Linked DNA regions of Stegostoma tigrinum. The protein of the gene in region 1 purifies or fractionates together with the protein of each later gene. This does not show direct contact. Links are inferred from orthologs where the notes say so. Each region holds a gene or a part of one and is shown in the gene's direction. Other genes may lie near its edges. The genes, in order: mad2l1, kif20a, anapc7 and cdc27.

The links.
Region 2: the proteins of mad2l1 (region 1) and kif20a purify together in Homo sapiens (affinity purification with mass spectrometry; 4 studies listed by BioGRID and IntAct, with this or other methods). This does not show direct contact. The link is inferred for Stegostoma tigrinum from reciprocal best matches to the Homo sapiens genes MAD2L1 and KIF20A.
Region 3: the proteins of mad2l1 (region 1) and anapc7 purify together in Homo sapiens (affinity purification with mass spectrometry; 3 studies listed by BioGRID and IntAct, with this or other methods). This does not show direct contact. The link is inferred for Stegostoma tigrinum from reciprocal best matches to the Homo sapiens genes MAD2L1 and ANAPC7.
Region 4: the proteins of mad2l1 (region 1) and cdc27 purify together in Homo sapiens (affinity purification with western blotting; 29 studies listed by BioGRID and IntAct, with this or other methods). This does not show direct contact. The link is inferred for Stegostoma tigrinum from reciprocal best matches to the Homo sapiens genes MAD2L1 and CDC27.

Annotation. Positions count from the first base shown.
Region 1 is NC_081354.1:68,625,424-68,632,742, reverse strand, and holds the start of mad2l1 (mitotic spindle assembly checkpoint protein MAD2A), read left to right. Parts: upstream 1-4,045; 5' UTR 4,046-4,060; coding exon 4,061-4,139; intron 4,140-7,319. UniProt on the Homo sapiens protein: Component of the spindle-assembly checkpoint that prevents the onset of anaphase until all chromosomes are properly aligned at the metaphase plate.
Region 2 is NC_081366.1:76,636,875-76,644,299, reverse strand, and holds the start of kif20a (kinesin-like protein KIF20A), read left to right. Parts: upstream 1-4,350; 5' UTR 4,351-4,529; intron 4,530-4,893; exon of another isoform or gene 4,894-4,968; intron 4,969-7,425. UniProt on the Homo sapiens protein: Mitotic kinesin required for chromosome passenger complex (CPC)-mediated cytokinesis. Following phosphorylation by PLK1, involved in recruitment of PLK1 to the central spindle. Interacts with guanosine triphosphate (GTP)-bound forms of RAB6A and RAB6B.
Region 3 is NC_081379.1:24,281,990-24,289,795, forward strand, and holds the start of anapc7 (anaphase-promoting complex subunit 7), read left to right. Parts: upstream 1-4,683; 5' UTR 4,684-4,779; coding exon 4,780-4,880; intron 4,881-7,806. Other genes in the region: ube2g1b (ubiquitin-conjugating enzyme E2G 1b), read right to left, coding at 4,275-4,317. UniProt on the Homo sapiens protein: Component of the anaphase promoting complex/cyclosome (APC/C), a cell cycle-regulated E3 ubiquitin ligase that controls progression through mitosis and the G1 phase of the cell cycle.
Region 4 is NC_081384.1:40,773,148-40,780,975, forward strand, and holds the start of cdc27 (cell division cycle protein 27 homolog), read left to right. Parts: upstream 1-4,627; 5' UTR 4,628-4,751; coding exon 4,752-4,778; intron 4,779-7,828. UniProt on the Homo sapiens protein: Component of the anaphase promoting complex/cyclosome (APC/C), a cell cycle-regulated E3 ubiquitin ligase that controls progression through mitosis and the G1 phase of the cell cycle.

The DNA of each region.
Region 1 (7,319 bases):
CTTGTGCTCAAAATATCGGCAATGAGGTGCCACAAGGCATTTACCAGCAATAGTTTGCTTTAGAGCTGCAGTCAGTTATGTAGGTTAAGCAAGTTTTAATGTTGAAGCTTTTGATGCTAGGCTGTATGTACAGAGGGTTATTTACAAAAGTAGGTGTTTTTGAGTACGAACGTGCTTTGTATTTCTTAAAACATTTTAGTAGTGATTTGGTGGACCCATAACGTGATAAAACAATATGATTAGGTAAAACAACACTAATTGTAGTAATCCAGCAATAATGGATAACTTTAATCTATATATAGACTCTGCAAGCCACATCACCTGTGACAAATGAATTTCTATAGCGTGTGCTGGATTTTTAAAAAGACAAACTATATTGAGCAGTGATCGCCAAACCATCATCTCCAACACCATCCATGACCTCATCACCTCAGGGGACGTCCCACCCACAGCCTCTAACCTTAATGTTCCCCAACCCCGCATCACCCGCTTCTATCTCCTTCCCAAAATCCACAAACCTGCCTGCCCTGGTCGACCTATTGTTTCCACCTGTTCCTGCCCCACCGAACTCATCCCCACCTATCTGGACTCCGTTTCCTTCCCTTTGGTCCAGGAACTCCCCACCTACGTCTGTGACACCACCCACGCCCTCCACTACCTCCAGAACTTCCAGTTCCCTGGCCCCCTACACCTCATTTTCAACATGGACGTCCAGTCCCTATACACCAGTATTCCTCATGCAGATGGCCTCAAGGCCCTCCGCTTCTTCCTGTCCCGCAGGCCCGACCAGTCCCCCTGCAGCAAGACCCTCATCTGCCTAGCCGAACTCGTCCTCACCCTCAACAACTTCTCTTTCGATTCTTCCCACTTCCTACAGACAAAGGGGCTGGCCATGGGTACCCGCATGGGCCCAAGCTATGCCTGCCTCTTTGTAGGTTACGTGGAACAGTCCCTCTTCACACCTACATGGGCCCCAAACCCCACCTCTTCCTCCGTTACATTGATGACTATGTCGGCGCCGCCTCATGCTCCCCAGAGGAGCTCGAACAGTTCATCCACTTCACCAACAACTTCCACCCCAACCTCAAGTTCACCTGGGCCATCTCCAACACATCCCTCACCTTTCTGGACACCTCAGTCTCCATCTCAGGTAACCAGCTAGACACTGATGTCCGTTTCAAGCCCACCGACTGCAACAGCGACCTCGAATACACCTCCTCTCACTCACCCTCCTGCAAAAATTTTATCCCCTATTCTCAATTCCTCCACGTCTGCTGCATCTGCTCCCAGGATGAGGCATTCCACTCCCGTACATCCCAGATGTCCACGTTCTTCAAGGACCGCAACTTCGCCCCCACAGTGATCGAGAATGCCCTTGACTGCGTCTCCCGCATTTCCCGCAACACATCCCTCACACCCCGCCCCTGCTACATACGCCCCAAGAGGACCCCCTCATTCTCACATACCACCCCACCAACCTCCGGATACAATGCATCATCCTCCAACACTTCCGCCATCTACAATCCGACCCCACCACCCAAGACATTTTTCCATCCCCACCCTTCTCTGCCTTCTGGGGAGACCACTCTCTCCGTGACTCCCTTGTTCGCTCCACACTGCCCTCCAACCCCACCACACCCGGCACCTTCCCCTGCAACCGCAGGAAGTGCTACACTTGCCCCCATACCACCTCCCTCACCCCCATCCCAGGCCCCAAGATGACTTTCCATATTAAGCAGATGTTCACTCGCACATCTGCCAATGTGGTATACTGTATCTACCCACTGTACCCGGTGTGGCTTCCTCTACATTGGGGAAACCAAGAGGAGGCTTGGGGACCGCTTTGCAGAACACCTCTGCTCGGTTGCAATAAACAACTGCACCTCCCAGTCGCGAACCGTTTTAACTCCCCCTCCCATTCCTCAGACAGCATGTCCATCATGGGCCTCCTGCAGTGCCACATTGATGCCACCCGAAGGTTGCAGGGAACAGCAACTCATATTCCGCTTCGGCACCCTGCAGCCCAATGGTATCAATGTGGACTTCACAAGCTTCAAAATCTCCCCTCCCCCCACTGCATCCCAAAACCAGCCCAGCTTATCCCTGCCTCCCTAACCTGTTCTTCCTCTCACCCATCCCTTCCTCCCACCTCAAGCCGCACCTCCATTTCCTACCTGCCACCTCATCCCGCCTCCTTGACCTGTCCATCTTCCCTGGACTGACCTATCCCCTCCCCGCGTATACTCTCCTCTCCACCTATCTTCTTTTCTCTCCATCTTCAGTCCGTCTCTTCTCCCCCCCCCTCCCCTATTTATTCCAGAACCCCCTCCCCATCCCCCTCTCTGATGAAGGGTCTAGGCCCGAAACGTCAGCTTTTGTGCTCCTGAGATGCTGCTTGGCCTGCTGTGTTTATCCAGCTCCACACTTTGTTATATTGAGCAGCGGCTGTCCAAGATTTGATTTTGTGCAATCAGAAAGGATTGACTGCTATCGAGTACTCTGAACGCTAACCTAGCTGCAGCCTCCCCTGTCTTATAGATGGAGGTGTAATGTCAGTTGGTCACAACCAAGTCCTGTGTGCATTGATTTTATTTTCATGCAGTCATGCAGCTGTGCTGTACAGATTTAATGGTTATACAGCATGGAAACACATTCTTCAGTCCAACTTGTCCACATCAACCAGGCATCCCAATCTGACCTAGACTGATTTTGCCAGCATTTGGTCCATATTCATTTTAAACCTTTCATAGTCATATACTAAATCCAAATGCCTTTTAAATGCTGCAGTTGTTTGCACAGAGAGTTATTTCTAAAAGTAGATAATTTTGGCTATGAATGTGGCTTATGTTTCATATAGCTTTAGTAGTGATCTGTCAGTGTTTTTGGACATTTATTGTTAGAACCGTTCCACATCAGCTGGGAATTTGTTCCATACACTTACCACCCTCTGTGTGGGGAGGGGGTGTGGGGAAGTCATCCCTCAGGTTCTTTTTAAATCTTTCCTCTCTCATCTTAGACCAGTGTCCTGTAATTTTGGGCTCTCTCACTGTAGGAAAAAGACAGTGGCTATTCACCCCATCCATGCTCCTCATGACTTTATAAGTCTCTATAAGGTCACCCTCTCAGTGCCTCTGCCAGGGGAAAAAGGCCCCAGCCTATTCAGTCCTTTCTGTATAACTCAAACCCTCCAGTCTAGATGACATCTTTGTTAATCTTTTCAACACCCCCTCAAGTTTCACACCATCCTCTGTACAGGAGGGTGACAAGAATTGTATGCAGCATTCTAAAGATACTGCTGCAAAAGCTATTCTTCTGGTATTGAAAAGGTTGATTGAAAATTAACTGTAAATGAGAATCACAGGGTGAGATAGTTAATCCTGTATTGATGTACTGTCAATGTATTAAAAATATACCCGATCTGACACAGATTAACATAGGCATAGCAAAAATGATACTCTAGGGTAGCAAATCCAGCCCAGAATAGGTCACGGTGTTACATTTCAGGCTAAAAGTGTTTTATCTTGACTTCTGAACTATTCATTCAGTGCCAGTATTTATCAGCTATCTCTACTTTGCTCCTCTGTGTCTTGTCTTTTACACAAATATAAATGCTGTTTTTTAGACTATTTCTTAAGGTTACATTTATGGGGTCGACTATTACATGGGTACCACATCATTAACAGGAGCCCAATTGATCCCTCAACAAATAAAGGAAAAAAGATCACGAATTACAGTAGTTGCCGATACTTCTGTGATCCAGCATTGTTGTAAATGATCAGGGCTGTGAGAGCCATAATCTGTCATACCATCATCGAATGCTCTCTCTCAAACTCTTAAGGTCAGCAGATAAGAACAAACAGATTATTCTCCTCGTACATAAAAACCTGATCATTCTTTCACAAAATGACCCTGTATCTTCTCCTTTTTGCTCCAGTGTCCAAAAGCTTTCTGTCACCCTCGGTGAAACAATAAGTGGATGCGAGCTCTCTCCATTACTGAGTTCATTCTTTTGAAACTCTGACAAAGAAATGAAACCCAATAAAAAAAACCTGCTATTAAAATGCAACAGTATCCTGGAGTTGAAAACAAAATCCCACCAAACCTGAAACTGGATGGCAGCACTTTATCTCCAGCTACAGGTCACTACCATTTTACTGTTTGAAAAATAAAATGTTGAATGCAACTTGCATCCCCATCGTTGGAGTAAGGGTACATTTTGGGCAGTTTCCTTGACAGATGAGAATGAACACCGTCCAGCAATTGCCTTAAAATATAAATTATCTGTGAATAACTAAGGTGAAATTTTAGTAAAATATATGGGAAAATTCAAGACTTTGGTCAAAAATAGTGGGTTGGCTTTTCTGTGAGATCAACTTGGCACTACAGGAAATATACTGTGTCTATTACACATCTTTAAAAATGGCTACTGCTTTCTGCGCTCGCAAATGATGTTAACCTATTCTTTGTGTGAGCTCTTTGTGCTGTCAAAGATAGTTTTGAGCCATTCACAGCCATAATAATTTTATGGGTACCTTTTTAATTGTAGACAAGTGTCCATTACGTGAATTCCTTTATCAGGTTTTGAAATGAAGTAATCCAGTCTGAAACCAGGTATGGAATCTAAAGAACAGAAACTAGAAAGATATTAGTGTTGAGTTAACTGTGATTGCTTACTAGGCATTATGGTGACTAGGTAATAGCGAATATTAAAGAAACAAATGAATGTATTCCAATGCTCAGGCAAAGGAAGCTCAGCTGTTGCCAGTAAGGGAAATTAGGAATAGTATTAAATCCAAAGAGTTGTGTGAACTTATTAGAAAATGTAGTAAATCTGAGACATGGGAGCCATTTGGAATTCACCAAAGGATGACCTAGAGATTGATTTTGAGGGCAAAAATAAAATGAGTAAAACCATAAGCTATGCTGAAAATTTTGCAGTAAGATTATATAAGCATGTAAAAAGGTGAAAAAAAGTGAAGACAAATGCAGGCTCATTACAGTTTGAAATGGGAAAATTGTTAATGGTGATCAAGGAAATAGCCGAGAAATCTAACCTCTCCAGAAATTGCTGGAGAAGCACAGCAGGTCTATCAGCATCTGTGGGAAGAAAGCAGAGTTAATGTTTCAAGTCCAGTGCTTCTTCATCAGAGCATCTTCTTTATAAGAGGAGTCACTGGACTCAACATTAGCTCTACTTTCTTCCCACAGATGCTGTCAGACCTACTGAGCTTCTCTGGTAAATTTCTGTTTTAGTTTCAGATCTCCAGCATCTGCAATTCTTTGTTTTATGACGTTTAATGAAAATAAAATGATTACTTTAATTCTGCCTTTGTGGGATAAAATACAAATAAGTCCTCAGAAATATTAGGAAAGCTTTTTACAAATAATATCATTTGTCAGAATGTTAACTGTGACATTGTTTAGAACTGTTGCAATGCTAACGATTAGTCATTTGTTACAGCCAGCTTAATAAACTGTGCTAAAATATTCAAATATAGCAGTGGCCCAAATTATGAACATAGAAATTGGGTTATGTTTTGAGGGTGTTCAGTTTAAACTTCAATTGTTTTCTGTTTTTCAGATTATTCATCCAGTTATGCATTTATTTTTTAGGCTGGGAGATTTGTGGACTGAAGCATGAAGCTTGGCTTGTGATCCAAATTGATTAGGTCAGATTCCCTACAGTGTGGAAACGGGCCCTTCGGCCCAACAAGTCCACACCGTCCCTTGCAGCATCTCCCCCAGACTCTCTCACCACTGAACACTATGGCCAATCTACCTAGCCTGCACATCTTTGGACTGTGGGAGGAAACTGGAGCACCCAGAGGAAACCCACGCAGACACAGGCAGCATGTGCAAACTCCACACAGACAGTCGCCTAAAGCTGGAATCGAACCCGGGTCCCTGGCGCTGTGAGACTGTATGCTAACCACTGAGCCACCATGCCGCCCATGCAGAGTGTTGCATTATAACAATTCCATGCATACATTATTGTGTTGCTTTGCTCTGCTAATTGGGTTTGGAAGTTCTATTTCCATCCCCAATTGTATTAAAATTTATTTGCTTTATCTTTTATGTAAAGAAATCTCAAGATTCCCAATAGGGGCTTCCTGTTATGAACCTGTCCAAAAATTTGTGAATCCAGCAGTGAGGAAAATAATCATTAAAAACCCCAATCCCTGTGGCCGTAGTCAGTGTGCCATGGTCTGGTATTTAAATGTCCAGCAAGGCAAAGCACTGCTGACAGCTCCTGTGAATAGGTAAGTATGCATGTACCTGGTGTGTGAATGAGTGTTTAGGGTAATTGGGGTCTGTGGGTTGTTTAATTCTTGATAGGGGGATGTCTTGGGGCTGACTGGTGGGTGGAGAACATCAGGCCTGGGGTTGAGTGTGTTGGAAGTTAGACTATCAGGCAGAGTGAGGGGTACCTGGCCCATCAGTGGGAGCTTGGGTTTGTGACTCAGATTTCAGGAAGGGGCAGGATGTGACTTCCAGAAGTAAAAGATCAGGAGGAGAAGGAAGGTACATCTCACATTCAGGTCAGTGAGAGTATGTATATCATCCCAACACGGTTGGGGTTTGGTGGTGTGCAGTGTAATGTAGGGAGTGGTGCAGTGGGGAATTAGGGATGGTCAGTAGTTAAGTGGGAATTACATTTACATTTTTTAACCCATTTTTCTTTAGTATCTGTAAAGCTCATGCAAGTTGGGATTCTTCAACTTCCCCTCTTTTAATGGGTTCTTCAAAGGGCTCTGGACGTGCAAATTACCCTAAAGAATTTGTTTCCTGAGCAATTCTCATAGTCAGAAGCATTGAGGATTCCACGTGGTCCTCTAATTTACTCTGTTCCAAGAACTCTGGCCATCAAATGTCTGAGCCTGTATTCCTTCAAATCTTTATAAGTGAATATTAAAGATTCTACATCCTTTATTGAAAAGGTGTGAGGAGCCTGTTCTGACTCATTCCTCCATCCACAATTGTCATCACGGATCAATTAACTGACCTTTGTTTTATTGCCTCTTAAAACATTATCTAAAAACTGCTGCATTTGTGCGCATAGACGCAGTACTTCACAATAATTTATTGCATCTGCTTTTCAATGTTTGAGATTTGATAAGTTACTGTTTAAATTAGCAGTCTCGCTTTCTTTCATGTGGAAGTGCTGGTGTTGGACTGGGATGGACAAGGTCAATGATCAGACAACACGTAATCTAACAGGTTTTTTATTTGGAAACATGAGCTTTCTTCACCAATTAGATCTTATTGAGCTAAGGCCGTAGAAACTACTGTTTTATTTCCGGATTGTATCCAGTGAAAAC
Region 2 (7,425 bases), on another chromosome or scaffold:
AGAAGGCTGAGAGGTGCTTGAGAGATGTCTATGTATTGTAGGCTGCCAGCTGTAGTCCAGCCAGCTTGGTTTTAAAAGAGCATTATGGGATCCTGGATAAAATATGGAAATAATGTAATATTTTGCGACAGGGACGTCATCAGTCAGCTGTTTCAAGGACGTGATTTATTCCTGATGAATTAATTTATCCAGTAATGTTCTTCCTTTAAAAAACTTTGAAGCTGCTGGTACAGAGATGTTTCAGAGCGTCAGTATTGTCCTATAGTTTGGAGTGAGCTGAGGAGCCCTTTCACAACTTAAGAGTAATCAAGTTTCCTGGGTCTGAGTGTGGATATTTCAAGGCACCTATTGGTCTTTTCTTGTAGCTTGTAAGAGGATTTTTGGCAAATTAGTATTTGCCTCTAGAGTACGTTAGTGAAAAAAAAACTGGTCTTTTGTAACATTTGGATTTTTACTAAACCAACATCCGATACTCAGGTTCACAAAGTCACCTGGCACTAAGTCAGAGATAATGGGAACTGCAGATGCTGGAGAATCCAAGATAATAAAGTGTGAAGCTGGATGAACACAGCAGGCCAAGCAGCATCTCAGGAGCACAAAAGCTGACGTTTCGGTCCTAGACTCTTCATCAGAGAGGGGGATGGGGTGAGGGTTCTGGGATAAATAGGGAGAGAGGGGAAGAAGGACCGAAGATGGAGAGAAAAGAAGATAGAAGATAGGTGGAGAGGAGAGTATAGGTGGGGAGGTAGGGAGGGGATAGGTCAGTCCAGGGCAGATGGACAGGTCAAGGAGGTGGGATGAGGTTAGTAGGTAGGAAATGGAGGTGCGGCTTGGGGTGGGAGGAAGGGATGGGTGAGAGGAAGAACAGGTTAGGGAGGCTGAGACAGGCTGGGCTGGTTTTGGGATGCAGTGGGGGGAGGGGAAGATCTGGGCTGGTTTTGGGATGCGGTGGGGAAGGGGAGATTTTGAAGCTGGTGAAGTCCACATTGATACCATTGGGCTGCAGGGTTCCCAAGCGGAATTTGAGTTGCTGTTCCTGCAACCTTCGGGTGGCATCATTGTGGCATTGCAGGAGGCCCATGATGGACATGTCATCTAAAGAATGGGAGGGGGAGTTGAAATGGTTCGCGACTGATAGGTGCAGTTGTTTATTGTGAACCGAGTGGAGGTGTTCTGCAAAGCGGTCCCCAAGCCTCCGCTTGGTTTCCCCAATGTAGAGGAAGCCACACCGGGTACAATGGATATCAGAGATAATGGGAACTGCAGATGTTTCCATATTAAGCAGAGGTTCACCTGCACATCTGCCAATGTGGTATACAGTATCCACTGTACCCGGTGTGGCTTCCTCTACATTGGGGAAACCAAACGGAGGCTTGGGGACCGCTTTGCAGAACACCTCCGCTCAGTTCGCAATAAACAACTGCACCTCCCAGTCGCGAACCATTTCAACTCTCCCTCCCATTCCTCAGACGACATGTCCATCATGGGCCTCCTGCAGTGCCACAATGATGCCACCCGAAGGTTGCAGGAACAGCAACTCATATTCCGCTTGGGAACCCTGCAGCCCAATGGTATCAATGTGGACTTCACCAGCTTCAAAATCTCCCCTCCCCCCACTGCATCCCAAAACCAGCCCAGACTGTCTCAGCCTCCCTAACCTGTTCTTCCTCTCACCCATCCCTTCCTCCCACCCCAAGCCGTACCTCCATTTCCTACCTACTAACCTCATCCCACCTCGTTGACCTGTCCGTCTTCCCTGGACTGACCTATCCCCTCCCTACCTCCCCACCTATACTCTCCGCTCCACCTATCTTCTCTTCTCTCCATCTTCGGTCCACTCCCCCTCTCTCCCTATTTATTCCAGAACCCTCACCCCATCCCGCTCTCTGATGAAGAGTCTAGGCCCGAAACGTCAGCTTTTGTGCTCCTGAGATGCTGCTGGGCCTGCTGTGTTCATCCAGCTTCACACTTTATTATCTTGGCACTAAATCAGTTTAGTTAGCACCCTTTCTCCATATTCCCATTCATGCTGAGAATCTACTATCCATTATTTCTGTTAGCACTCTCCCTTCCTACATCCTCTCAGTTACTGCAGACATTTAGTGGTGGCAGTGATGTACTGGTGATATAACAAGATTAAGGGGTATGCCATTTAGAACAGAGTTGAGGAAAAACTTCTTCACCCAGAGAGTGGTGGATATATGGAATGCTCTGGGCCAGAAGGCAGTGGAGGCCAGGTCTCTGCATACTTTCAAGAAAGAGATGGATAGAGCTCTTAAAGATAGTGGAATCAAGAGTTATAGGGATAAGGCAGGAACAGGATACTGATTGTGGATGATCAGCCATGATCATAATGAATGGTGGTGCTGGCTTGAAGGGCCGAATGGCCTACTCCTGCACCTATTGTTTATTGTCTATTAGTATAGCAATCCAGAGGCCCAGGCCCATATTCTGGAGTTACAGCAGCTGGTGGAATATAAATTAATAAGTTTGGAATATTAAAGAAAACTAGTTCCAGTTTTGTTGTCTCCATTACTATCACTATCATAAAAACCCATCTTGTTCTCTGATGTCCCACAGAAGAGAAAAATCAGTCAAACCTGCTTTGTCTGAGTGATACAAAATGACAGACCCACCGCAATGTTGTTGACTCATCTGCAGTCTGAATGGCCTAAGAATTAAGCCACTCAGTTCAACAGCAATTAGGGGTGAACAATAAATGCTAGTCTTATAAGCAACACCTGAAAACCATTAAGGAATGAAACAAATTCTCCTATTTCCTATATTACAAACTGCACTAATTCCAGCTGTCTTGATTTGGACTACAAATAGGTTGGATGGATTCAGAGATAACACAGAGTGGAGCTGGAGGAACACAGCTGGCCAGGCAGCATCAGAGGAGCAGGAAAGCTGAAGTTTCAGGTTGGGACCCTAATTCAGAAAATGAAGAAGGGTCCCGACCAGAAACGTCAGCTTTCCTGCTCCACTGAAGCTGCCTGGCCTGCTGTGTTCCTCCTACTCCACTGTGTGTTATCACTGACTCCAGCATCAGTAGTTCTTACTATCTTTGGATCAGATTTCTGATAGGTTCTATTAGCTCTGCTATTTTTCCAAACCTCTTTGTAACACTTTTTTAATTGCAATATTTACATTGCACTGAAATAAATTCAGTCACAGCTACTATAACGTATAGCCTTGGAACAGTGGCACAATGGTTAGCACTGCTGCCTCACAGTGCCAAGGGCCTGGGTTTGATCCCACTCTTGGGTGACTGTTTGTTTGGAGTTTGCATGTTCTGCCTGCGTTTCCTCTGGGTGCTCCAGTTTCTTCGCACAGTCCAAAGATGTGCAGGTTAGCTGGATTGGCCATACTAAACTGCCCATAGTGTCTTGGAATGTACAGGTTAGGTGGATTAGCCATGGTAAATGCAGAGTTAGAAGGATAGGGGTGAGTCTGGGTGAGATGCTCTTTGGAAGTTCAGTGTGGACTTGTTGGGTTGAATGGCCTGTTTCCAAACTGTAGGGATTCTATGAATACTTCAGGAAAATATGCTTAAAATTACCTCTCAAATTGAGGCACGGCTTCCAAACTGACAGTGGTTTCCTTTCCTCTTTCAAGCTGTGAAAAAGATAAGACATAGAAGCAGGAGTCGGCTATCCAGTCTGCCCACCATTCTTGGCTGATTGATAACCTTCAACTCCACTTTCCTGATGTGTTCGCATAACCCCTGATGGTCTTAGTGTTTTTTTTTATTAATCATTATCTCAGCCTGGAATATCCTAAATTACTCAGCCTCAAAAGTCCTCTGGATTCAGAGTTCCACTACATTTGAGAGAAGAATATTCCTTCTCAACCCTGTCTTAAATGAGCAGCCCCCTCATTTTGAGATGATGCCCTCCCACAAGGGAAAGCAACCTTAGTGCATCGACCCTGTCAGGTTCCTTAAGAATGTTATATGCTTCAATAAGGTCGCATATTATTCTTTTAAACTCCGATGGACACAGAGCCAACCTACTCTACTGGACTTCACAAAGCAGTCCATACCTGGTTAATATTTATCTCACTTATAAAGCAAACAATGGGCAAGTGGAAAAATAACATTTCCCTGAGAGAAATCTTGCCATTTATCTCCACGAAGGAACAACTATGAAAATGAAACAAATAGAACCTGTCTTCCTCCAAACACTGAGACTACCACAGGTAGAAGAGTACTGATGTTGGAAGTGCGCATGCGCTAGCGACCGGCGTGACCTACGCCGTGGGTGGACATGCGCACAGCCGTGAGCAGCGTTCTTTCGGGGAGGGGAGGGACTGCGCAGCCGCAAGGAATGACCCCCCCACCCCAAACACCAAGACAAAGGAGGGTGCTTCCCCGGGCGCGCATGCGGAGTGAGGTCACTGGGACGCGGTCGGCCGTTGGACGGGAACAGCGGCGCGCTATTTGAAAACAAGGGAGTCGTTGGCGAGCGGTGCGCGGGGTCGGATTACTGTCAGGCTAGTGCTGTCTTCGCTTGGGACTCTCACCACAGGTATGGTCTCTATCTCCTTCCCTCAGGTACAGCCCGAACGGTAGGAAAGAGCGCCCCACACGAAACAAGGCGGTCGTCCCCCCCCCCGGTCTGCGCTGCAGCTTCATAACGTCGTTCATGGCGGCGTCCCTCTTCCTGCCCGGGCGATGAGTCAGTGGCTGCAGGCCCTACACGCAACTCAGTCAACAAAAGGGCAGGCAGCAGCAGCAGCGGCAGCAGCAGCAACCGCCCCCTCTCCCCATCATCAGCCCACCCGGTGTGCCTGCTTTCCTCCGCAACCTCCCCCCCCCCCCCCCACCAACCCACCCAAATCCCCAGCCCACCGGGTGTTCTTCCCTACCCCCTTGTGCCCCATTCTGCACCCAACCTCTCCCTCCACATCCAGAAGAAGGTTAACTATTCACCCAGCTGGACTCTCTTGTGTGTTTGCCCGTTTGAGGTAGGGGTGTTCTCTTTTACTTGCTGTTTGAGTAAGGGTTGGGATGTTTTCATCGGCGATATGCTCCCCAACTTCTCTAGGTTAGAAAGAGTGTCTGTGGATTGGTATTGGTAATATAGGCTGAACGACGCCCCCCCTTCATTGCTGTGACATAGAGCCCTACAACATGGAAACGGACCAGTCCGTGCTGAATGTAATTTTTAAACTAAACCAGTCCCACCTGTCTGCTCCTGGCCCATATCCCTCTGAACTTTTCCTATTCAGCTACTTATCCAGTGTGTTTTAACTGTTGTAGATGTACTCATATTCACCACTTCCGCAAAGTTCATTGTGCATGAGAGGCACCCCCTGTTTTTAAAAAAAACAAAATTTGCCCTTTGTGTCTTTTTTTTAGAAGTCTCTGTCCTTTCACCTTAAGTATGCCCTCTAGATCATCTTGGTTCTATTGCCCTATGATACTGGTGGCTCTTCGTGGTTTGGTATTTTCCTTTGATCTGTCTGTGGGCCTGGCTATACACTTTGCTGACTCCTTAACAATTGGCCATGTTGCTTTAAGAGATTAAAAAGGTATGTGCATCTAGGTGGTAGTCTGTTTTTGTTTTGAAAATTTTGGAACCTGATTTTAAATTCTTACATGTGATGGGATTTGCATTATGTGGATTTAATAACCCACCAGTAGAAGAATACACGCTTGCTGAGCTATCGCATGGGTTGCTGTGGTGTTTACCCTATAGGGTGCTAATCTCTGGGTTGACTGATTTTTTTTTTGTTTAGTTTATTGCTGGATATATATTTCTAAGGATTATAGTTTTCAAAACTTTTTATGAATAGTAACTAGATGCAACTGGAGGTGATCTTCCACAGCAAGCAAATGTGGAAACAATTTGACAGCAAGAGGCCACATCCAAAAAACAGGGAAGTAAGTGATCTACAAAATAATTGAGTTTGACTATTCTGCCCTTGGGCAGTGGTTTTATTCAGCCTAAGATATAAAGAGGCACTTGAGCTGGTTCCCTGAATGTCTGTCTGTTTCTTACAGACCCTTGCCTGCTAGGTGACTCTATTGACAAATCTTGGGCATGCTGTCTGTGATTTCTTGAGCATTAAATTTTTCTAATGTGGAGAATTATGGGCAGCATGTCCTCAATTTTTGTGTAATATGCAATGGATTGTGTGCACTTGTAATGTTGGCTCTTGATCTATGAAAGATGTGCTTTATTTCTGTGATTTGCCACTCAGTATAACTTTACTTTATGTAATCAAAAGATTCTTTTATAGATGGGCTGAGGCTACTATAGAAGCTGCAGGGCAAATCAGAAAAATTAATCAATTTAAGACTCCTCCAGCAAAAAAAGCATGAAGTCGGTTTTCTGCACTTGTGTCTCTGGGTGACTGGGTTCATTAGCATGAGAGACTGATGTCTGATTCTAATGACGACCCATGGGTATCACTTCCTGCAGAGTAATAAATATGAGATTATGCATTTTTTTGTGCTGTTAGAAATTAAAGGAAATGTAATTTCCTATCTTGGTGGCATTCAAGTTTTTGCAGTTTGAGATTAATTGTCCTCTGGTTTAAATCCTTGTGAAATTTTATTCAAACAATTTTTACTGTTGACTTTACCAAATATCTATGTTGTATAGTCTGTGAATACAGTTATTATTGAATGAAGCTCCTTTACATACAAGTTCTTGATGTGCATAGTTTTATTTTCAATTTATTTTTGTTTTTATTAACCAACTTGTCAGTGAAGTTTTCAGTTATCTTTATGAAAACCTAGCTTACATATGGATAAAGGTAGCTTCAGAATCAATTTGTGCTTTTCAAATTTGCACATTCTGACATCTCTTTGTGGAATTTTGCACATTTGTCTCAGCAAGGAAATGCAATCTAGAGCCATGTGACTTGGACAAGGCAACCAAAAGTTTTGAAACGGTAGTAATGCATCCTGTACCTGTGAAGATACATTCTGCTTTTGAATTCAGATGGAGAAGCTCCCTGTTCTCTCTAATGATGAGAAATTGATTTGGGGTCATTATCTTTGATTATTATTAGTTTATATCTATTAAATTTTCTCTGAATTTACCGATAAGCATGTGAGCCATATGGACCATAAGAACATAAGAAATAGGAGCAGGAGTAGGTTATTCAGCCCTCGGCATTTGCTTCATCATTGTTTAAGATCGTGGCTGATCTTCCCCAAACTTCAACCCTCCTTTTGGTCAGCTCCTCGTAGCCACCCACTCTCCAATTTTTAAAAATCTATTTCCTCTTTAAATACTTTGTGATCTAGCCATCACAGCTCCCCGTAATAGTGAATGACCGGAATTCTACTTTTTCTGAGCAATGAAATTCCTTCACAGATAATAAAGTGCGAAGCTGGATGAACACAGCAGGCCAAGGAGCACAAAAGCTGACGTTTCGGGCCTAGACCCTTCATCAGAGAGGGGGATGGGG
Region 3 (7,806 bases), on another chromosome or scaffold:
AGTTTTAATGAACTTGTAGCTATTTTAGTAGCCAAGGTGATTTTTTTCTAAAATAAGTTAGTTCACGAAGGCGATTGCGAATTTGTTTACATTGGGAGAGTTTACAAGTGAACAAGAGGATTATGCATTACGCTTTTACTTTGCAGTTTTTGGGAGCTTAGAAGAAACATCTCATAACTAGGAAAGCTAAAAGATTTTTAGTTTTAGTTGGGAGCAGTTTGCAGAAGTCTTGGCCAAAGCTAGATGTGTAAAACAGCTGCTCTTGAGAAAGGGAGGTAATTTAGGACTGTTAAGAAATATGTTCCCTCAGTGAACAGAATTTAAGGTTCCAGACCAGAAGTATTTAGTTTAAAACATAAAGGGATTATTTGAAGCCAAAAAACTCTAAGTTCAGTGTATGAAGGCTCCAAGAGGTGATCACATTCTCAAGACAGGACACTGAAGTCACAGTTAAATTAAACTTTATAAATATGAAATAGAAGTGCATTATCTCTGGTATGAGTACTAAGGAGGAGTGATTTTGGGATTAATGACATTGTATTTTACCTTGAGTTTTGAAATATTTACATTTATGTAAAATTCAATGGCTTATTCTATTTTATCTTCATTTCTTTTGAGTAATGAAACTTGTTTTATGTGAAATGAAACTGTAGCATTGTGTGTGTGCATTTCAGAGAAAGGCTACTTCATTAGGCAGCACAGTGGCTCGGTGGTTGGCACTGCTGCCCCAGAGCGCCAGGGACCTGGATTCAATTCCAGCCTCAGGCAACTGCCTCTGTGGAGTTTACACATTGTCTGTGTGGGTTTACTCCAGGTATTCTGGTTTCCTCCCACTGTCCAAAGATTTGCAGGTTCGGTGGATTGGCTATGCTAAATTGTCCATCGTGTCTAGGGTGGGAAATAAAGGGATGGGTGTGGGTGGAATGCTCTTCAGAAGGTCGGTGTGGACTTGATGGGCTGAATGGCCTGCTTCCACACAGTGGGGATTCTTAAAAATAAACAAAATATGATCAAGCTAGATTTCAGAGTTTGGGATCTAACTTGTCCAGTAATAAATCATTAAATCAAAATGTGACTTTTCTCTTCTACCTACCATTTCAGTAGTTTAACCACTGTAGTTCATGGTCACAGTAGGAATGGAATGAAAACACACCTCAATCTGTATTGCAGCATTTTAAGACCAAATGCTATCCATCAACTCTCACAGCTAAGAGGATAACTATATTTTAATTCTGATGTGAAGCATACCAAAGGAAAAGTTCAGGGCCTGCATGGTCCAATTAGTGTGAAAGGCAAGGCTGGCAGGTGTAGGGAACAGGATGACTACTGCATTGAGGCTCTGGTCAAGAAAGAGGAGGCATATCGAATCAGGGAATCCCTAGTGCAGAAGCAGGCCATTTGGCCCACTGACTTGACACCAATCCCCCGAAAAGCATCCCACCTAGACTCATTCCCCCCAACCTTATTCCCTGTAATCCTGCATTCCCCCATGACCAATCCACCTAACTTACCTCATCCGTGGGCACTTTAGCATGGCTGATTCACCTATCCTGCATATCTTTGGACTGTGGGAGGACATATAGAGAACATGCAAGCTCCACACACAGTTGCTCAAGGGTGTAATCAAATCCAAGTCCCTGATGCTGTGAGGCAGCAGTGCTAACCACTGAGCCACCATGCTACCTCAATTGTCAGGTATAAGCAGCTGGGATCAAGTAAATCCCTTGAGGAGTATAGGGAGTATAGGAGTACCTTAAGAATGAAATTAGAAGGGCGAAAAGGGGGCAGGAGATAATTTTAATGTCTAAGATAAAGGAGAATCCAAAGAGATTCTACAAGTATAATAACAGCAAAAGAATAACCGGGGACAGAATAGGGCCCCTTAAAGGTCATCTGTGCGTGAAGCCATGGAAGATGGGTGAAATCCTAAACAGATATTTCTTGTCAGTATTTACCATGGAGAAAGACATGGAAGCTAAGGAACTCAGGAGAATAAATACTGATGTTTTGAAAAAAAGCCCACATTGCAGAAGAAGTGGTGCTAGAGGTTCTCAAAGGACAAAGGTATCGATCCAGTGTAACACCAGAGATTGAGAGGAGCTAGGGGAGAAACTGCAGGGCCCCTAGCAGAGGTATTTGTATCATTGACAGGCATGAGTGAGGTGCCGGAAGACTGGAGGGTGGCTAACGTGCCATTATTTAAGAAAGGGTGAAGGAAAAGACAGAGAATAACAGACTAGTAAACCTAATATTAGTAGTGGGTAAGTTGTTGGAGGGGATTGAGAGACACAGGGAGTACATGCACTTGGAAAAGCAAGGACTGATCCCGGATTGTCAGCATGGCTTTGTGCAAAATCACGTGTCACAAATGTGATTGAGTTTTTTGAAGCGATGACCACGTAGATGAAGGCAGAACAGTCTACATGGACTTTTGCAAGGCCTTTGACAATCGTAGATTGGTAAGTAAGATTACACCACATGGGGTCCAGAGAGAGCTAGCCAACTGGATACAAAATTGACTTGATGGTAGGAACAGAAAGTGGTGGTACAGGGTTGTTTTTCAGACTGGAGGCCTGTGATCAGCAGTGTGTCAAATGGATCAGTTGTGTCCACAGCTGTTCATCATTTATGTAAACAATCTGGATAAGAAAATAGGGGGCATGGTTAGTAAGTTTGGCAATGACACCAGAATTGGTGGTATAGTGGACAGTCAAGAAGGTTACCCAAAAGTACAATGGGATCTTGATCAACTGGGCCAGTGAACCAAGGAACGGCAGATACAGTTTAATTCAGATAAATGTGAGGTGTTGCATTTTGGTAAGGTAAACCAGGGCAAGACTTCCACACTCAATGGCAGCACTCTGGGGAGTATTCTTGAACAGAGAGACCTAGGGGTGCAAACATGATTTCTTGAAAGTGGTAACACAGGTAGATAGATTGGTGAAGACAGTATTTGGCATGTATGCCTTCATTGGTCATGGCACTGAGTACAGGAGTTTTGACATCATGCTACAACCATACAAGACATTGGTAAGGCCACATTTGGAGTACTGCATATAATTTTGCTTGTCCTGCTGTAGAAAGGATGTTATTAAGCTGGAAATGGTGCAAAAACATTTACAAAGACATTACCAACATTAGAAGGTTTGAGTTATAAGAAGAGGTTGGAATGTTTTTCCCTGGAGCGTAGGAACCGAGGGGTGGCCTTGTAGAGGTTTATAAAATCATGAGGGACATAGATAAGGTGAATAGCCAAAGTCTTCTCCCTTGCTGGGGGGAGAAGAGAGGAACTAGAGGGTTTAAGGTGAGAGGGGGAAAATTTACATGGAGCCTGAGGGGCAACTTTTTCAGACAGGGTATATAGAACATGCATATATGAAATAAGCTGCCAGAGGAAGTGTTAGAGGTGGGTATTTAAAAGACATTTGGACAGGTACATGGCTAGGAAAGATTTAGAGGGACATGGGCCAAACGCAGGCAAATGCTCTCTGATGAAGGGTCTAGGCCCGAAACGTCAGCTTTTGTGCTCCTGAGATGCTGCTTGGCCTGCTGTGTTCATCCAGCCTCACATTTTATTATCTTGGAATCTCCAGCATCTGCAGTTCCCATTATCTCAAATGGGGTTAGTTCAGTTTTGGAAACCTGGTCGGCATGAACAAGTTGGGCCGAGGCGCCTGTTCCAGTGCTGTATGACTATGACTCCATAACATGTAACAATTCAAGTCTTTCAGGGGACTAGCAACAGGCAACTGTAATACGCAGTGAAAGCGAACAGAAGATATGCAATCTGGTCAAAAGTAAGAACACATTCATCATGTCAGCGTTCGCGGCTGTGAAGCGCCATAACGATTTTTCGATTTTACAATCGCGTCAGACTGACAACATCTGGATTTTCTATAACTTTGACGCCTGTAAAATTCGTGCGTATAAACTGCCAATCTTCCAAAAATGACTGCAGTCCCGTGGCCGCAAAATATTCCAGGAAGACACTTTGCCAGTCTGTCATAGCGATAACGCGGAGGGAAGGAGAGGGGGAAGCGGTAAAAAAAGTTACGAAACAATGACTTTTAAAAGAGTCTGACGACCGATGACATAACATAAATAACGTCCCAAATGTTCCTCTTTTAACAATTAACATATAGTAATAGCCAAAACGAAAATAGTCAGAAGGAAGTGGGGAGCTGAAAGGGGGTCGAGACTCAGCAGCAACAACAGTCCTTCCAGCCACAACTCACATCTGCAGCAAAGTTTGAGATCCCAAGGGCGTCGCGTACCTGCCAACTGTTTCCTAAGGAGCAGGGCGGACTGGTCTGTCATTACTCAAGGATCGGATCAAACCAAGTAAAATATGAAAATCAAATAATAAAGGTAAAGTAGGTGGGTCAGGTAGATAGTCAGAAGCAACCGCTCCAAGCCTTGCGGGCCCACGCTATACCAAGCCTCGGCCTGCGGCCTTACAGGCTGCTCACATCCCGGCTCCGGCATCAAAGCCGCACATGCGCCTTCCCCCTAGCAACGCAAAGCTGCCCGCCATGTGCCGCTTTACTTCAACGGCTATTTCTAATCTCGCGGTTGGCAAACAAACGTAGCTATATAATTTTAATTATTAAGTACGTTACGAAAAAAAAATACACTGCACTGCCACGGTGAATCATAGTAATTCAGGCGCAAAGTGAGCAGCTCTAGCTGCAGGGAGGTCCACAGCGCCATTTTTGATGCTGTTAGTGCTACTGCTTTAGCGTCGTCTTCACTCAGAGCACTGATCTGACAGAAGAAAAGATGAACGTTATTGACCACGTTCGGGATATGGTGGCCGCTGGCCTTTACTCCAACGTGAGATTACTTAGTAGCCTGTTACTGACTATGAGCGACAATAATCCGTAAGTGGTTGGTTTTACCTGGCGAGTTCTCTCTCAATTGATTCTATGTGTTCCGAATCCTCTCCCCCTGACATGGTATGGTTTTAAAATGCAGTTTGCTCCCGCATCTCCAAATAAGTTCCGAACCTGTTAAAAGTTTGAGGCTTAAAATGATTTTGTTCTAGTCTCAAAGTGGAAGGGTGAAAGAAAAAAGTCTTGGTTCATAGGTACCACTGGTGTAAACTGAATGGTGAATGGAGTGTGACAGTCCAAGCCTTTGATTGTATTATCATTACGTGTTCCAGCCATATAGTATTGTCACCTCCGAATGATTTAAGCTTCTGTGAGTTTTTATGACTTCAATCAGAAGGGAATGTTGGCCTTTATAAACATAGAACTAAAATACTAGGGGTAGAAGCCATGCTCCGTTAACTAAGGCCCAGGTTAGACCATTACCTGAAATAAAACAGAGTCCTGGGCATAATCCCTTAGAAAGGATTATAGACCTTGTAAAGAGTGTAATATAGATTTACTCAAATGATACTTTTATTGCAAGGAAGAAGTAAACAAAAAAGGAACTTTTCTTTTAAGGTTTCTTTTAAAGTGAACCTTGGAATTTAAAAGTTGAGGGGTGATTTGATTGAGCTTTTCAAGAGACGGTGATATTAGGACACTACTTTATATACAGTATTGTGGTCTGGAACTCTTCTACAAATGATAGTGGATGCTAGCTCAATTGATTTGTAAGTTTAAATAGATTTTTGATAGAGATTAAATAGATTCTGAAGATTCAAAAGTATAATCTATGTTGGTTTTGTGTCCCCACCAACACATTGAATTCAAACTTGCCAACTGAATATAAGTCTTGCTTGTTTGAATCTATCCCAATCTCTACATTTTTTTCCGACTGGCTTTTTGTACCTCCAACCCTTACTTTTCTTCACCTCTAGTAGCAGTGCTTTCGACCTTCTTTTAATGTTTTGGGTAAAGCCATTATTGCTAAACTTTCAATAACCTTTGCAATTCTCACCATAGCTTGATACTAGTTTCTCTCCAAACCATGTAAAGTATGATGGACTGTTTTCTTTTTTAAGGATGCTTTTTATTACAATTTGTTGATCTATTCGTGGGGATGGACTAGTTTGTATTTGGAAAAATTGACCTTGGGTAAAATGTTAAATCTAGGGTCCTATTTGCCATATCAATTTTGAAAGTTCTATTAATTTGATCAGAGAATTGGAGGAATTCTGATGCATAGTTCATGTACCTTCCGCCATCAGCAGTGCCAGAAAGCTGTTTGTCTCAATGTAACTAGGACTTTGATTCTGCAACCTGCCTATTACATTTACCTGAATTTTGGTGTTATATTTCATTGTGTTTCGCTGGGAAGTTGTTTTCGTTAGGCGGGGAGATTAGGACCCGTGGGCACAGCCTTAGAATTAGAGGGGGTCAATTTAGAACGGAAATGAGGAGACATTTCTTCAGCCAGAGAGTGGTGGGCCTGTGGAATTCATTGCCATGGAGCGCAGTGAAGGCCGGGATGTTAAATTTATTCAAGGCAGAGATTGATAAATTCTTGATCTTGCAATGAATTAAGGGCTACGGGGAGAGTGCGGGTAAGTGGAGTTGAAATGCCCATCAGCCATGATTAAATGGCAGAGTGGACTCGATGAGCCGAATGGCCTTGCTTCCACTCTGTCTTATGGTCTTATGGTCTTAAAAGATGCAACCATTCTAGTAGTAAACAGAGGGACCTCGGGGTTCATGTACATAATTTTGTGAAGTTTGTATCACCAGATGGACATGGTGGTTTAAAAAGGTGTTTGGCACGCTTGCCTTCATTGTTCAGTCCTTTTGACTAAAGGAATTGTGAATTCATGTTGATGACATTGGTGAGACCGCTTCTGGAGCACTGTGTGCAGTTCTGGTCATCCACTTATATGAAGGATATTATTAAACTGGAGAAGGTTCTGAAAAGATTTACCAGGATGTTGCTGGGTATGGAAGGTTTGAATTATAAAGATTGGATAGGCTGGGACTTTTTTCACTGGAGTATATAAGGTTGAGAGGTAACTTTATAGAAGTTTATAAAATCATGAGGGGTATAGATAGGATTAATGGTAGGTATCTTTTCCCTAGCATGGGGTATTTCAGCACTAAACGATGCATTTTTAAGGTGAAAAAGGAGAGAGATTAAAAAAGACATGAGTGGCAAATTTTTAAAGAGGGTGGTTTACGCGTGGAATGAACTTTGAGGAAGTGGTGGATGTGGCACAGTTACAGTGTTTAATAGACATTTGGATAACCAAGAAGAGGAAAGGTTTGGAGGGATAAGGGCCAGAAGAAGGCAGCTGGGACTAGTTTAATTTGGGATTATGTTCGGGTTAGACTGATTGGACTGAAGGATCTGTGTCTGTGCTGTACGACTCATGATGGTGTCTTGAAACAAACTGTTAAACCTCTGGAAAGAGAAGAGATAAAGGCAGATGTTTCTGATTACCTCCCTTAAAGCTCTTCATATACAATGACCGCATGGTATTATTGCCAAACTATTAATCCAGAAACCCAGGCAACATTCTGGGTTCGAATCATGTCGTTGCAGATTTGAATTCAATAAAAACCTGGAATTAAGAGTCTAATGATGATCATGAAACCATTGTCAATTGTTGGGAAAACTGAACTAGTTCACTAATGCCCTTTTAGAGGAGGAAACTCATCTTCAACTGGTCTGGCCTACATATGACATCAATTTGATTGACTTTTAACTGCCCTCTGGGCAACTATGAATGTGCAGTAAATGCTTGTCTAGTCAGTGGTGCCCACGTGCCATGAACAAAGAGAAAAAAACTTTTATAATATCTGACAGATAATTTTGGATGTTCTTTTAAGATGTGGCTTTTACCAGAAAAAAAATTCACTTTTTGAGTGAATTATCTTCTTTCTTTTT
Region 4 (7,828 bases), on another chromosome or scaffold:
TGTAGGATAATCTGGTGTTGTGTGATTTCTCACTTTAAGTAAAGGCATAACTTAGACCTCGGCTGGTGTTTGTATTCAGTTATGCGTGCCACACTTTAGAAAGGAAGTGAATACATAGGGAAGAGTGCAGAAGAGATTTCAAAAAAATAGCTCCAGGGATGGTTGTCTTCAGTTTATGACAACAGATTGGAGAGATTGTGACTGTTTTCCCTGGAGAGAAAACTAAGCCGACAACCTCATTCAAAAGAACATGGAACTTGGCAACACCACAAGCCACTCACCAACCGGCCATCGAACTGCATCATTATTCCTTCAGGGTTCCTGGGTCAAAATCCTGGAAATCCCTTCCTAACAATGACACAAGGACTGGAGTGGTTCAAGAAGGCAGTTCACCACCACCTTCTTTAGGGATGAGTAACAAGTGCTGGTCCAGACAACAGCAAGCACATCCCATTAATGAAAAAATATGAAAACTTGAAAGCTCTGGGCAGAGTAAACAGGCAGGAATCGTTGCTGCTTAAAAAAAGGATCAAGATTGGATTTGATTTATTTGTCACATGTACCAAAGTACAGTGAAAAGTGTTGTTTCATGTGCTATCCAGTCAAATCATACCATTCGTAAGTACATCGGGGGGTAATAGAACATAATGCAGAATACAGTTACAGAGATGAAGAGAACGATCAACTCTAATAAACAAGATGAGAGGGTATAGGTTGAAAGTGAGAGGGGAAAGATTTAAAAAGGATCTAAGGGGCAACCTTTTCACACAGAGGGTATGCTTGTATGGAATGAGCTGTCAGAGAAAGTGGTAGAAGCTACTGCAATGATAACATTTGAAAGTCATCTTGATGGGTGTATAAATAGGAAGGGTTAGAGGGATATGAGCCAAATGCTGGCAAATATCTGGTCTGCATAGATGGGTTGGACTGAAAGGTACACATCACTATGGCGCGATAAAGCTATACGGCACTGTAACTCTAAGTCTGTTCATAAGTTAAATAACAGCAAGGAAGAAATTGTTCTTGAATCATTTGGTCTGTGTTTTCAAAGTTTTGTATCTTCTGCCTGGAAGAGGATGGAAGAGAATATAACTGGGTTCTGAGGGAGGGTCAGATGTTGCCAGACCTGCTGAGCTTTTCCAGCAACTTTGTTTTTGCTCCTGACTCACAGCATCCACAGTTCATTTGGCATTTATATAGCTGGGGTTTTTGATTGTGTTGGCTGCTTTCCTGAGGTAGCAGGAACTGTAGACAGATTCAATGGAAGGAAGGCTGGTTTTCATAGGTGACAATTTTTCACCACTTTTGGTGCAAAACAAGCATAGAATGCATTGAGCTCATCGGGGAGACAAGCATTGTTGTTACCGATTGTATTCAGCTTTGTTTTGTAGCCTATTATATCATGTAACCCTTGACACAGTAGATGTGTGTTTGTGTGGTTAGTCTGGTACTCTAGTTTAGGAGATAGCAAGAACTGAAGATGCTGGAGTCAGAGTCAATACAGTGAGGAACTCTAGGTCAGGCAGCATCAGGGAGCAGCAAAGCCGACGTTTCAGGTTGGGGCCCTTCAGGACTGGGGAGGGGGAAGGGAGCTGGGAAATAGACGGAGGGAAGTGGGGCTGGAGGAAGGTGGTAATAGGTGGATGCAGGGTAGTGGGGATTGGTCAGTGGGAAGGGTGGGGTGTATAGGTAGGAAAGACGATAGTAAAAACTGCCGATTCTGGTGTCAGAGATAACACAGTGTGGAGCTGGAAGAGCAGGAAAGTTGATGTTTCGGGTCGGGACCCTTCTTCAGAAAAAGAAGAAAGGTCCTGATCCGAAATATCAACTTTCCGATTCCTCTGATGCTGCCTGGCCTGCTGCATTCCTCTAGCTCCACACTGTGTTATATGTGAGAAAGAAGATGGACAGGTTGTGTCAGGTCAAGGAGGAGGCTTGGACACGGGATGAGGCTGGGGGTGGGGAGATTTGCAAACATTAAGATTGATAAGTCCCCAGGGCCAGACCAGATTTATCCTAGGTTGCGCCGGGAAGCCAGAAAGGAAGTTGCTAAACCACTGGCAAAGATCTTTGCTTCCTCACTCTCCATGGGAGTTGTACCAGAAGATTGGAGAGAGGCAAATGTTGTTCCTCTTTTCAAGAAAGGGAATAGGGAAATCCCTGGAAATTACAGACCAGTCAGTCATACGTCTGTGGTCAGCAAGGTTTTGGAAAGAATTCTGAGGGATAGGATTTATGATTATTTGGAAAAGCATAGCGTGATTAAAGGGAGTCAGCATGGCTTTGTGAGGGGCAGGTCATGCCTTACAAATCTTATTGAGTTCTTTGAGGAAGTCACGAGACAGGTTGACGAGGGTCGAGCAGCGGATGTGGTGTACATGGACTTCAGCAAGGCATTTGATAAGGTTCCCCACGGCAGGCTCATTCATAAAGTCAGGACGTATGGGATACAGGGTGATCTGGCTGTCTGGATTCAGAATTGGTTGGCTGACAGGAGGCAGAGAGTGGTTGCAGATGGTAAGTATTCTGCCTGGAGGTCAGTGCTGAGTGGTGTCCCACAGGGCTGTGTTCTTGGGCCTCTGCTCTTTGTAGTTTTTATAAATGACTTGGATGAGGAGGTTGAGGGGTGGGTTACTATGTTTACTGATGACACAAAGGTTGGAGGTGCCATTGATAGTATCGAGGGCTATTGCAGGCTTCAGCGAGACATTGACAGAATGCAGAGCTGGGCTGAGATATGGCAGATGGAGTTCAACCTGGATAAATGCGAAGTGATGCATTTTGGAAGGTCGAACCTTAATGTTGAATATAGGATTAAAGGCAGAATTCTAGGCAGTGTCGAGGAACAGTGGGATCTTAGTGTTCAAGTGCATAGCTCCCTCAAAGTTGCCACCCAGGTGATAAGGTTGTTAAGAAAGCATATGGTGTTTTGGCTTTCTTAACAGGGGGATCAAGTTTAAGAGCCGTGAGGTTATGCTGCAGCTCTACAAAACCCTGGTGAGACCACACTTGGAATATTGTGTCCAGTTCTGGTCGCCCTATTATAGGAAAGATGTGGAGGCTTTGGAGAGGGTGCAAAGGAGGTTTACTAGGATGCTGCCTGGACTGGAGGGCTTGTCTTATGAGAGGTTGACTGAGCTCGGACTTTTCTCTCTGGTGAGAAGGAGGAAGAGAGGTGACCTGATCAAGGTGTACAAGGTAATGAGAGGCATGGATAGAGCCAGAGACTTTTCCCCAGGGCAGGATTGACTGCCACGAGGGGTCATAGTTTTAAGGCGTTAGGAGGAAGGTATAGAGGAGACGTCAGAGGGAGGTTCTTCGCCCAGAGAGTTGTGAGCGCATGGAATACTTTGCCAGTGGTAGTCGTGGAAGCAGAGACATTAGTGACATTTAAGCGACTGCTGGACATGCACATAGATAACAGTGAATTGAGGGAAATGTAGGTTAGGTTATTTTATTTTTGGATTAGAATATTCCACGGCACAACATCATGGGCTGAAGGGCCTGTACTGTTCTGTACTTTTCTATGTTCTATTTTAAAACTGGCGAAATCTATGTTGAAGCCATTAGACTATCGGCTCCCAAGGTGGAATATGAGGTGTTGTTTCTCCAATTTGCATGTGGTGTCATTATGATACAGGAAGAAGCCCAGGTTGAAGTAATGGATTTGTTTTAGTATGTAATTGAAGAGCTTCAGGGCTGAAGAGTCATCCGTGGTTTGCAATGGGAGAGATCCTTGATTTTTTTGGAGTGAGGAGGACAACTTCCTCAGGGTGGGTATCCTGGGAAAAGGCTTCACATTTGGGTTTTCAATCACCTGGAGATGGTAAGAACTGCATATGCCGGAGTCACAGTCAATGCAGTGTGGAGTTGGAGCCTGGTATTGTCCTTTGGCATCCCTAATAGTTTTGTGAAAATTGTACCTAGATTTCCTGTGTAAGTCAGGGTCACCCAACTTGATTGCTTCAGACCTAGACTACAGTAGTGAAATGATTTGCAAACACAGCAAATGTGGGGCACGAAGAAAACTCCATCACACAAGGAATGAGGGTCTGGAATGAGGAAGAGAGTTCTGAGGTAGGGTCACTGAAGCCGAAACGTAAATCTGATTTCTTTCCGCAGATGCTACCACACTTGCCGAGCTTTTGCAACAATTTCTGTTTTTGTGCCTGGAATGCACTGTTTGGAAGTGTACAGGAGCTAGATTCAGAGCGTTCAGAGGGCGTCAGACGATTATTTAAATCGTAACGATATGCAGGCTTACGTTGAAAAAAGCAGCAAAATGGCGCAGTGATAATGCAGGCACAATGGGCCAAATGGTTTCCATCTGCACGAAAAGAATTTGCAATACACTGGCAATTCTTTAGAAATTTCCAGTTACTGCTCACAGCAGCGAAGGAAGCAAAAGCAATATTAAATCTTACGGTCCACGAGGTGAGCATCACCGTAGAAGGTGACCTGCAGAATATTACCATCAGCTGGGATGGACTCAGGACTATACGCCCTCCACTCTCACTCCTCACAACTCTCACCTAACTAATTTCCGGTCGTGAGGCGACAACTTCCGGCAGCGTTCGGCGATTCCCGACAAGGTTCGGCAATTCCCGGCATAACTCGGTGATTTCCGTCCGGTGTGTCGTCGTCCTGCTGGCCGTTAGGCTACGGTGGCTGTGACTGTTGAAATTTGAATCCTGGGCCGAGCTGTGTGTGATGAGAAGCCGCGCTACTTGGTACAGACTGGTTCTTACATCATGACAGTGCTGCAGGAACCCGTTCAGGTAAAACGGCCCTGGGGATTCCAGGCCCGCTGTCACTTACAAGTCCGACCCGTGTGTGTGAAGAGTGGGCCGCCTGCTCCTACCTTCCCGGCCTGGCGCGGTCCGGCCAGAGGAGTGGGCCTGTGTATCTTGAGGGGGTGCGAGGGGACTGATTGTCATTGAGTTTTTAAACTGGCTATGAAGTCTGTATTAGAGCCGTGGTTCTGGAATTGGAAAAGCTTTTTGTTTTCCAAACAGCGGTACTGTTTGGTGGATTTATGTTAATCCAGCATTCTGTCAGGCCTAGTTTACTCCTTGGTTTTTTAAAAAAAACGATTTTGAGGCAAATACAACAGTTAGGCATGTTTTGTTAACAGGATGATCACGCCTATTCGGTATGAAGATTGCTATCCTTTTTCTTCCCCGCAGAGCTTTAAGGCAATCCTGCAGGTTTCGAGAGAAACAGAAAATACTTAGTTTTTGGTGATGGTCCTGTTGGAATTTAACTGCTTTCTTCCTGTTTAGTAGGTGCTGAGAGTGTAATGGTGGGTGTTGGAATGTTCACTTCTGAACAGCGAAGTTTCATGAGGTAGGATTGAGATAATTGGCTCGAAACATTGTGTATATGGGGGAAGAAAATTTTCAGCTATGTAGAATGGAGTACTAATGATTACAAACTCTGCAGGTAGTAGAAACATATGAGCAAGCAACAGGGGAGATCATTCAGCTCCTTGAACTTCTTTTGTCTTTCAATAAGATCATGGATGATCTGTTTTTAACCTACTTTTTTGATAACTTTTCACCCTGTTGCTTAACAAGAAGTTTTCTGCCTTGACTTTAAAGCATTTGAAGAATCTGCTGGATGATCTTGAGAGTTCCAAAGATGCATGACCTTTAGAAAACTGTTCTAAATGGACAACACGTGACGCTTGCATGATCTGTGGTGATTAGTTTGCGTGTCATGATGAACATTGTCAAGTTGGTTGATCGAGTCTGGAATTACTGTGAGCTGACTGATTTTGCCAAGTTGCTGATTTTTCTTAGTTGCAATCAGAAAAACATCAGCTTGTGCTCGTTCAGTGAATATAAACTTTGAATGCTATGGAAAATATACATGTCAGTTTTTGGAGGAAAAAGTTCTTCAGATCAAAGGGATGAGAAAGAAAGGAGAGGGCAAGAAATAGTGATAGAATGGAAGTTGAGGCCCAAGTCTGTAACTTTGATTTGAGTGAATGTTGATTTTGATTGAATTTTGAGTATTTTAGTTTCCAACTGACATTGCTTAAAGTAGATGATCTGATCATTCATCTAGTTGTTGTTCGTGCCAACTTGCTGTGTGAAAACTGGTGACTGCTTTTCCTACAAGTTTACATTTCAAAATATTATTCAACTGGCCACAGAATTGCAGAAAATGCAATATCTTTGCAAGTGTGTACTTTGTGTCCTTTGTCCTAGCCTACAAGCAGCTTTGTATGTTTTTGAACGGTGTATTGTAACTGCTTTGCTGATCTTGAGGAGCATCCAGCAGCTTTGGGCCAATGACGAGGAGGTGGTGATTGATGGTTTCTCTGTCAGCACAGAAACTAGTCAGAGTCAGTTCCATTTCAAACAAAAGGTGTTACTCAAATTGTAGAAAGCTAATCATGGCTGATCTTAGACATTTAGGGTTTCATATGCAGAAACAATCAGAAACTAATGGACAGGTTTGAAAATAACTTTAAAAGATTAGAACAATCTATAGTCTGTATAAGACTGAAATGAAAAGGGCTAGAAGTTATGTTACACTTATATCAAGTTCTGATTTAGGCCACATCTGGAGAACTTTGATCTATTCAGGACCTGGTACTTCAAAGATGTTCAGTTAGGTGGGATTGCAGTCACCAATGCCATTCTTGCCTACTAACCTTGGATGGGGATCATCGCCTTTCAGGTAAATCTACAGCGAAGCAATGGGTGATATTCAGAAAGGAGCTGGGGAGAATACTTGGAGGGGCTAAGGGATGAATCCTGGTCAAGTGCAACTTAGCTTTGTGGCTGCTGAGTGCCATTGAGGAGCAGACTGGAGGCTGGAGCAAAACAGGACAATTGGTGGTCTTGGGCCTGGCGCATGTGCTGAGCTGCTGAAAATGGACTGTCATTTGAAACCTTTCTACTGTGGTAACTACCTTTTGTAGGTAATGCTTCTGCATTCCTTTAATCCCTTTTCTATAAGAACACCAAGATGTGTCCCTCTGTACTTCTGTATTGTAGCTCAAGTGATAATGAAGTACATTCTACAGGCCCAGCACTTAGCCTTGAGGGGTAAGGGGCAATAAGTTCTGAGAATCCTGGATGTTTAGGGCAAATCAGGACTGGATAAGGAACAAGAGTAGGCCAGGTCTAACGGGAGCAATTCAGTTGTGGCACTTGAGTACAGGAAGTTCAGGTGGCAACTTTAAAGCAATTAGAAGAGCAAAAGGGGGACATGAAAAATTATTTGCAAACAGAATTAGGGAGAATCCTAAAACATTTTATAAATATTTTAAAGGGAAGAGGTTAACTCAGGGAAGAATAGGGCCCATTAGGGACCAAGGGGGCAACCTGTGTGTGAAGCAGCAGGATATTGAAAGGATGTTGAATGAATATGTCACTTCAGTCTTTATCCTCAAGGAGAATGTCGGTATAGAATTCAGGAAAAGGCATTATTTGAGGAAGTTGCGCAATGTAACATACGAAATGATTGGAATTGAATTGAAATGAAAGGAAATTGGAGGCTCTGTCAGACTTAAAAACAGACAAATCCCTTGGCCTGGATGAATTCCATCCCAGGTTGCTGTGGGAAATTGCAGGGGCACTGGCATAAATTTTTAATTCCTCTCTGGCCTCAGGGAGGGGAGGGTGCAAGAAGACTGGAGGATAACAAATATGATAGCACTTTTTAAGTAGAGTTGAACTAGGAAATTACAGACTGGTGAGTCCCACATCAGTGGTGGGGAAGTTATTGGAGAAAAATCTGCAAGAGTGAATTAATATCCATTGGGAAAGGGATGGGTTAATTAGGGATAGTCGGCATGTCTTTGTCAAAGGATGGC